Linked DNA regions of Canis lupus familiaris. The main gene of each other region encodes a partner of the protein of the gene in region 2 in a complex. Links are inferred from orthologs where the notes say so. Each region holds a gene or a part of one and is shown on either strand. Other genes may lie near its edges. The genes, in order: POLR2D and GTF2F1.

Evidence for each region.
Region 1: GTF2F1 (region 2) and POLR2D share a complex: the UniProt entries of both Homo sapiens proteins name them as parts of the TBP-based Pol II pre-initiation complex. The link is inferred for Canis lupus familiaris from reciprocal best matches to the Homo sapiens genes GTF2F1 and POLR2D.

Annotation. Positions count from the first base shown.
Region 1 is NC_049240.1:24,117,369-24,121,177, forward strand, and holds part of POLR2D (DNA-directed RNA polymerase II subunit RPB4), read left to right. Parts: intron 1-981; coding exon 982-1,162; intron 1,163-3,809. UniProt on the Homo sapiens protein: Core component of RNA polymerase II (Pol II), a DNA-dependent RNA polymerase which synthesizes mRNA precursors and many functional non-coding RNAs using the four ribonucleoside triphosphates as substrates.
Region 2 is NC_049241.1:54,168,187-54,172,625, reverse strand, and holds the start of GTF2F1 (general transcription factor IIF subunit 1), read right to left. Parts: upstream 2,911-4,439; 5' UTR 2,448-2,910; coding exon 2,436-2,447; intron 2,350-2,435; coding exon 2,303-2,349; intron 1,782-2,302; coding exon 1,709-1,781; intron 1-1,708. Other genes in the region: adenylate kinase isoenzyme 1-like, read left to right, coding at 3,095-3,188, 4,421-4,439. UniProt on the Homo sapiens protein: TFIIF is a general transcription initiation factor that binds to RNA polymerase II and helps to recruit it to the initiation complex in collaboration with TFIIB. It promotes transcription elongation.

The DNA.
Region 1 (3,809 bases), on a different chromosome or scaffold from region 2:
TCACACAGAGAGAGAGAGAGGCAGAGACACAGACAGAGGGAGAAGCAGGCTCCATGCACCGGGAGCCCGACGTGGGATTCGATCCCGGGTCTCCAGGATCGTGCCCTGGGCCAAAGGCAGGCGCTAAACCGCTGCGCCACCCAGGGATCCCTTGAAGTAGGTTTAGTTGGGGAACAACATAAGATTATGAAATCTAGAGGGTAGGGACTTATTTTTTATTTATTTTTTAAAGATTTTATTTATTTATTCACGAGAGACACACAGAGAGAGAGAGGCAGAGGCAGAGGGAGAAGCAGGCACCATGCAGGGAGCCTGACATGGGACTTGATCCCGGGTCTCCAGGATCAGGCCCTGGGCTGAAGGCGGCACTAAACCGCTGAGCCACCCGGGCTGCCCAAGGGTAGGGACAAGTCCAATAGTATGTAATAGGTAGTGATCTGGGTGAATGAGTAAATAACAGATTTGTACAGGTACAAAAATAGAATTTGGGATGCATTATTAATGTGTGTTTCCAAATACTTGGCCCTCCCTAAGATGTAATAATTCTTAAAGTTTTGAGTATAATATTAGTATTGTGGAACTAGATTATCAGTTCATGCAAGCTACAGAGAAATAATTGTTGATTATGCTCTATTTTGAAAATCCTAACTGGCCTAATTAGGGTAATGATGTGTTATTATAGGATAATGATATGTCATTGTTGTGACATATCACAACACACATCCTGTGTTGTAGCACATCCAGGTCAGGTTCTTTGATGTTAGAAACTGTCTAGCTGGACTGAGCTAAGTGTTAGTATCTCATGAACTCTACTGTCCCTTGTGGTAGACTGGTCTGGATGAAGATAAAGCTGTGGGATATTGGGCCTCTGGATTTATGCAGGGACAGAAATTTGCTGCTAGTCTTGAAGGCAAAATGAACATTTAGAAGTTGTCTTTTGAAGGAATACTTTCAGCTGACATTTATGCTTCTCACAAATAGAGTTTGAAACAGCGGAGACATTACTAAATTCAGAAGTTCATATGCTTCTGGAGCATCGAAAGCAACAGAATGAGAGTGCAGAGGATGAACAGGAACTTTCTGAGGTCTTCATGAAAACTTTAAATTATACAGCCCGTTTCAGCCGTTTCAAAAACAGAGAGACCATTGCCAGTGTCCGTAGGTGAGTGCTAAAAGAAAGTTTTTATTAATCCAAACTGTTGGGATCCCTGGGTGGCACAGCGGTTTGGCGCCTGCCTTTGGCCCAGGGCGCGATCCTGGAGACCCGGGATCGAATCCCACGTCAGGCTCCCGGTGCATGGAGCCTGCTTCTCCCTCTGCCTGTGTCTCTGCCTCTCTCTCTCTCTCTCTCTGTGACTATCATAAAAAAAAAAAAAATCCAAACTGTTGGACATCTGTGTAAAATGCTTTTGCTTCTACTGCCACTGCCAGCACTGCCATCCCATGGTCATCATCTGTACCTTTAATGTAAGAAAAATAATATCTGTCTGAAATTTAAAAATTGCTTATGAGATCAAAATTCTTTTTGGCCACCTTTCCACATACCTAAAATCCCAGTGGTCATCCTGCACAGTAACCACTGTTAGTTGGTTATTAGCCTTCCAGATCTTTTCCATGTATTCACATATATATTTTATATATGTATAAAAAAATATATATATATATAACACATAACAGTGTTTTGTGAGTTTTTTTTAATAAAGTGGGCTTATTTATTTAAAATGTCTTCAGGATCTTTATATGTAATTAAGTATAAATCAGGAGCATTCTTTCTGAATCTTTGCTGTACTTCTCAGAAGGCAGCCTTTAGCATTTTTTTCTAAGGCATTGCGTCTCAAATTGGGTAACCTGGAAAAACATGATGTACTAAGGCATATAGGAAGCCACAGGAAAAAAACACATCTTCAAACATCAGTTTTATTTGATGGTAGGTGATTTAAAAGACTTCTACATTAAAACAAACAGATACCAGCATATTGTTGAATAAAACAAAAAATATATGTGAATTCCTGAATTAAATTACAAGACTTAAAACCTTACAGATGCAGAAAGTCATTTGAGCCTGTGCCCCCCAGGTCACCTAGGGATACTTGTGTGCTCTGCTCTGGTGAAAATGTTTGAGAAGTACTGTCCTTAGGAAAAGCAGGTATACAAAAAAAGATGTATATACACAGATACTTTTCAGAGAGCTACTTATAATAGCCAAGGACAGGGAGAAACGTTAAACATTCAACAGTAATTAAATAAATAGTGGTAAATCATTTGGTGAATATATGGTCATTCAAATTGTGGTAGAAAATGAAATCGAAAGATGTTCCCACGTTAAGTGTGCAGAAAATGAAGGTGATAAAATTGTATATGAAGAATAATCTGTTCTAAAAAGTGAATGTACGCATGGAGAAAAGATTGGAGGGAAATTTGCAGAGCTTCCGAGCAAAACTACAAGCTGTTGGGCCTAGGAGATGACCTGGACAGATGAAAGTAGACTTACACATTCAGTATTTTAAACATGTTGGTTCTCCCCAAATTAATGTATACATTTAGTGCCATTCTGGGAGCGCCTGGGTGGCTTGGTTGAATGACTGACTCTTGATTTCAGTTAAGGTCATGATCACAGTGTCATGAGATGGAGCCCTGCATTAGGCTCTTGTAAGAATTGTCAAAAAAAAATTTTTTTTTTGAGAAATATGAAGGGGAGAATTCGTCCTAAAAGATGTAAAACGCATTAAAAACTGATAGCAATTGGGACGACTGGGTGGCTCAGTGGTTGAGCGTTTGCCTTTGGCTCAAGGTGTGATTCCGGGATCAGGTCCCCCATTGGGCTCCCTGCAGGGGGCCTGCTTCTCCCTCTGCCTATGTCTCTGCCTTTCTCTGTGTCTCTAATGAAAATAAATAAAATCTTAACAACAAAAAAAAAACAACTGATAGCAATTAAAGTGGTGACACTTTGGCATGAGAATAGATCAGAGGGGGCAGCCCCGGTGGCGCAGCGTCGCAGCGGTTTAGCGCCGCCTGCAGCCTGGGGTGGATCCTGGAGACCCGGGATCGAGTCCTGCATCGGGCTCCCTGCATGGAGCCTGCTTCTCCCTCTGCCTGTGTCTCTGCCTCTCTCTTCGCTCTCTCTGAACAAATAAATGGATAAATCTTAAAAAAAAAAAAAAAATAGATCAGAGGGAAATAATTTTTTTTATAACTTAGAGAGCGAGTGAAAGCACTCAGGGTGGGGGAAGAGCAGAGGGGAGGGAAAGAGAGAATCTTAAGCAGGCTCCCCACCTAGCATGGAGCCCACTGTGAGCTCATCTCAAGACCCTGAGTCCATGTCCTGAGTCAGAATCAAGAGTCCGAGGCATAACCAATTAAGCCACCCAGGTACCCCTAACGGGGAAATATTTTATTTTTTTTTATAAAGATTTTATTTATTTATTCATGAGAGATACACAGAGAGAGAGAGAGAGGCAGAGACACAGGCAGAGGGAGAAACAGGCTCCATGCAGGGAGCCTGACGTGGGACTCGATCCCAGGTCTTCGGAATCAGACCCTGGGCTGAAGGTGGCGCTAAACCGCTGAGCCACCCGGGCTGCCCTAGGGGAAATATTTTAAAACAAAGTTCAAAACCTATACCTTATACCAAACTTAATTCCTAAGGAATTAAGGATTTGAATACAAACCATGGTGAATAAAAGTGCTTTGTGATAATATGAATGTTTGTATTATTTTGGCTGTGGTTAGTAAGACTTTTAAATGAGGGGAAACTTGATTGACTAGTAGAATATAAGCTTTGTGAGAGCAGGAACTTGGTTATATTCATC
Region 2 (4,439 bases):
TTCCCAAGGTATTTACCAAGTTATTCCTCTTAGTGAGGGGTGTTTAAAGCTGGGACCCCCTGATGTGTGGGTATCTCCCTCTTGGATGATCAGTGATAAAGAATGCCCCACCCCACCCCCACCCCCAGAGTGATCAGGGATTTGGAAACACTCCACCTTCTCTGGGTAATTTAGGTGAGACCAGAGGTTGGGGGAGCATGTTAGTTTGTATATGAATGTGCATACGGCTGGAGATGCTGGGGGGCAGGCAGCCTACAAGGGAAGAGGGTGCCCTGAGCAAGCATCCACCTGCCCAATATCCAGAGGGACTAACGTCTCTTTCAAATAGCCTCACTTGCTCAACTAGATGAAGGGATGTTTAAAAACAGTCAAAAGACAGACCGGTGCTGAAAACAGGATGAGCAGCAGGAGCTGCCTGAAGCTGCCAACTTTAGACCTGGGCCAACTCCTGTGCTGGGCTGGTCCAGTCTCTGTGGCTTCAAATGCTGCCCCCAATGCCCAGATGCTCCCTCCCAGTCTCCCAACTCAGATGCTCCACTGCTTATTTACTGTCTCCTCCTGGGTGTCTGATATAAGATGTTGAGAACTGAACTCCCAATACTCTGTCCATCCGGCCCTGTCACCCGTCAACATCCAATCATTAACAAATCATGTTGGCTCCACTTTAAAACACACTAGAATCCACTGACTTCTCACAACCGCTGTTTGCTCCATGCCCAGTCGTCACTCACCTGGACCACCGCCGACGCCTCCACCCTGCAACACCCTTTGTCTGCCCCTGATCCTATAGCACCCAGATCAGTTTATAACTCCCCTGTTTAGAACCCTTTAAAGGTTTCTGCTATAGACTGAATGTTTGTGTTTTTTTTTTTTTTTTTTTTTTTTTTTTTTTTTTTAAATTTTTTTTTTATTTATTTATGATAGGCACACAGTGAGAGAGAGAGAGGCAGAGACACAGGCAGAGGGAGAAGCAGGCTCCATGCACCGGGAGCCCGATGTGGGATTCGATCCCGGGTCTCCAGGATCGCGCCCTGGGCCAAAGGCAGGCGCCAAACCGCTGCGCCACCCAGGGATCCCTGAATGTTTGTGTTTTATCCCAAAATGCATATGATGAAACCTAACTCCCGGTGTGATGGTATGGGGAGGTGGGGCCTTGAGAAGGGGATTAGGTCCGAAGGGTGGAGTCCTGGTGAATGAGATGAGTGCCCTCTTAAGAGCTCTCTCACCCCCTCTGCCACGTGAGGACACAGTAAAAAGACAGACATCTACGAACCAGGAGGCAGGCCTTCACCAGACCAAACATCTGCTGGCGCCTTGCTCTCAGACCTCCTAGCCTTCAGAACCGTGAGAAATAAATATGTGTTGTTTAAAAGCCACCCGGTCTGCGGTATTCTGCTGTAGCAGCACCCATGGACAGAGCTTCCAAAAACCATCTGCAGGCTGCAGCCCCCTCGGCCTTGCCCAGATGACTCTAGGCTGGAAATGCCCGTCAGGGGGCACAACTTCTAAATGCCATCCTTTCATGAGGCCTCCTGTGGGGCCTGCCCAATCTTCCTCACAGGGATCCCTAGCAGCTCAGCCTGGGCCTCAGTACATCGTCTTATCCCCACTCGGGGAGCGGGGTCGAAGCCAAGCCTTAGTTTTACCACTGTAACTAAGCGCCTATTGCAGGATCAGGTTCTTACGCTCACTCCCAACGGGGACTTACCTGATTCCAGGTAGCAAAGTTGACTTTGTCAGCAGCATTGAAGGCCATGATGTTGTATTTTTTCGTTGTGTTTCTGGGGTGGGCAAAAAGAGGGCTGCTCTCAGTTCACCGTTCATTTAACAAACCCTCCCTTGGCTCAGCAACGCTGGGGACCCACAGAAGCCCTCAGGGGTTCCCGGTCTCTCCCGACCCCTCTGCTGAAGAAGAGCAGGAGGGGAGGCATAAAGGTCGGGGGACGGGGGGTGCCCAAGGTGTGGGAATAATGGAGACCTCTGTCCTGGGGGCGGGGGCGGGGGAGGGCAGGCAGGGCATGTTTCCCAGAGGAGGAAGATCGTGGGGCTGGGTTTTATAGGACCGACAGGAGTCACAACGCCAGGGAAAAGGCCTTCCTGCCGAGAGAAGGCTAGGCCAGGGGGCTGCATCCGACGTACCGCCCACTAATGGGCTCATTCATTCATTCCGTTGCAAACACGGGATGCACCTCGCTCAACCCCAGCCCTGGGCCCAGGTCCCTGCTCCTCGGGAGGCGGCATCACCGGCGGCGCCAGGCTGGCCTGGGAGCTCAGGAAGCGGGGAGAGGGCTGCGGGACTTACTTGGGAACTCGGACGACATACTCGGTGACGTTCTGGCTGCTGGGGCCCTGCGGGCAGAGAAGGAGGGGCGGTGGGTGAGTGGGGGGCTGCAGAGGCGGCGCGCCGCGACCCCCGAGCTCCCCCGTGTACTCACGAGGGCCGCCATGGTGACGGTCGGGGGTTCGGGTCCGCTGCGGCCCGCGCCCCTCAGTCCCGGGGAAGCCGCCCGCGCGCCGTCGGGTCTCTGGCCCGGATCGAGGGGGCCGCTACCCAGAAGTCGGTCTTCTCGGGGAACCGCTCCGGCCGCGTCTGCGCCTGCGCCTAACCTGGACGTGACACTCGGGCCGCGGCGCGACGGCAACCTCCTCCGCGTCACCTAGCTCCCCGAGTCCCGCGGAGCGGACGGCCCAGACCGACCCCGACGCGGAAGACACCCCGGCTGCGGCGGAAGCCGCGTCGCGCCTCTCTATAAAGCGCGACTGATTTAATCAGCCTGTGGCCACGCCTCCTCGTGACATCACATCCGGGGGCCGCGGGGCGTCCTGGGAGAGGAGGGAGGAACCTAGCCTCCCTCGCGAGCTCTCGGGCGCCTCGCGCATGCGCCACTGCACTCCGGAAGTGAGTCGGAGGAGGCCGCGTCACCATAGCGACCGGGGCCTCTTAGTCCGCGCCGAGCTGTTGGGGCGCCGCCAGCTGCGCCCCTTTGGGTTCATTTCCTCCTTCTGCCCCGGGGAGACCTCATCGTCTCGCCAAGTGATCGGGCCCTTGTGACGTAGAGCCGAGCCAGGAGGAGGAGTCAGGGCCCGGGTGGGGATGGGGCGCGACCACCCCAGGGCCGCTGGTGGGATGGGTCTGTGCAAGTCCAAGCTGCCCGAGGTGGGCAGGCCCCTGCGACCCCAGGAGAAGGGTAACGTCGCAGGGGCGGCTGGCTCACGGGGCGGGGGGGAGGAAGGAGGCCGTGAAGGGCACGAGGGAGGTGCAGGTACCCCACACCCCAGGCCGGTGTGCACACGCCCCGCCCCCCACCCACCGAGCTGCACGTGCTCGAGGATCAGCCGCGCTTTGATCCGCTTGGGCACCTGCTGCGCGGGGTTCTGGGCACTCCACGGCGAGTATGTCACACTAGCTGTCCGGCCTCCAGGAGATGACAGTGTAGACAGGGAAGGAGACAGTCTCAGAAAAATGGGATCGGCGAGCAGGAGGGAGCAGGGCTGCCACGGGGAGAGAGGAGCCGGCTCTGCGGCCCCCAGGAGAGGGGAGGTTTAAAGTTTACGTTGGGCCCTGTGGGATGCCTGGGAATTCACTAAGCCAAGCGGGAGGGAAGCAAGACACGGAAATTGCATTATCGACTACTGCGCTGCCTTAGAGACGCCTGGTAGCCACGCACCTTCGTTTGCTCATCACCCGCTACCGCACGTCAGGGACCGTGGCAACTGGTAGAAACCCGGGGACCAGCAAGACAGAACTGGTCCTTGCCCTCCCGGAGCACAGAGTGTGGCTGGGGAGACGGACAAGAACAAGGAAACAGGCAAAATCCTAGCTGACCGTGGCTGCTGCAGTGGAGGAAATGTGGCCCTGGGACGGGATGATGCGGGGGGAGGTCGGGAGGGGAAGCCTGATGGGCGGGCGGGTGGGCTGTGTCCTGAAGGCGGCGGAGCAGGGACTTGGCGTGCAGGGGGAGCAGCGGGAGAGGGATGAGTTTGGCAAGTTCAAGGGACAGAAGAGGCCAGGGGGGCTGGACCAGAGGGAAGGAGGAGGAGGGCGTTGTGGGATGGCCCAGAGGGGGCGCAAGTCTGAGCCTGTTTCCTCAGCTGTCAAACGGGACAATCGAGTCATTGAGGTTTTCAAGGAGATGCTGTGTGCAGAGGGCATGGCCTGCTCGCAGTCTGCATCCTCTTCGCAGCCCCCCAAACCCGCCCCTGTAGCAGCGCTAACCCGTGCCCTGTGTGGATATACCACTGGGCATGGATGCACACCCCCAGATGCCACCCTAGGGCAAAAATGGGTAATGCCAGGAGACCCGTGTCCCGCGTCACTCACCCGAGGACACACACTAGGCTGTGGACACAGACACATCGGTGCGTGCTGGCCCCTGCAGGCACCAAACCCTCTCCCCACCTCTTCCCTGGGCCCCCACAGACATCCTCAAGTCTCCCCT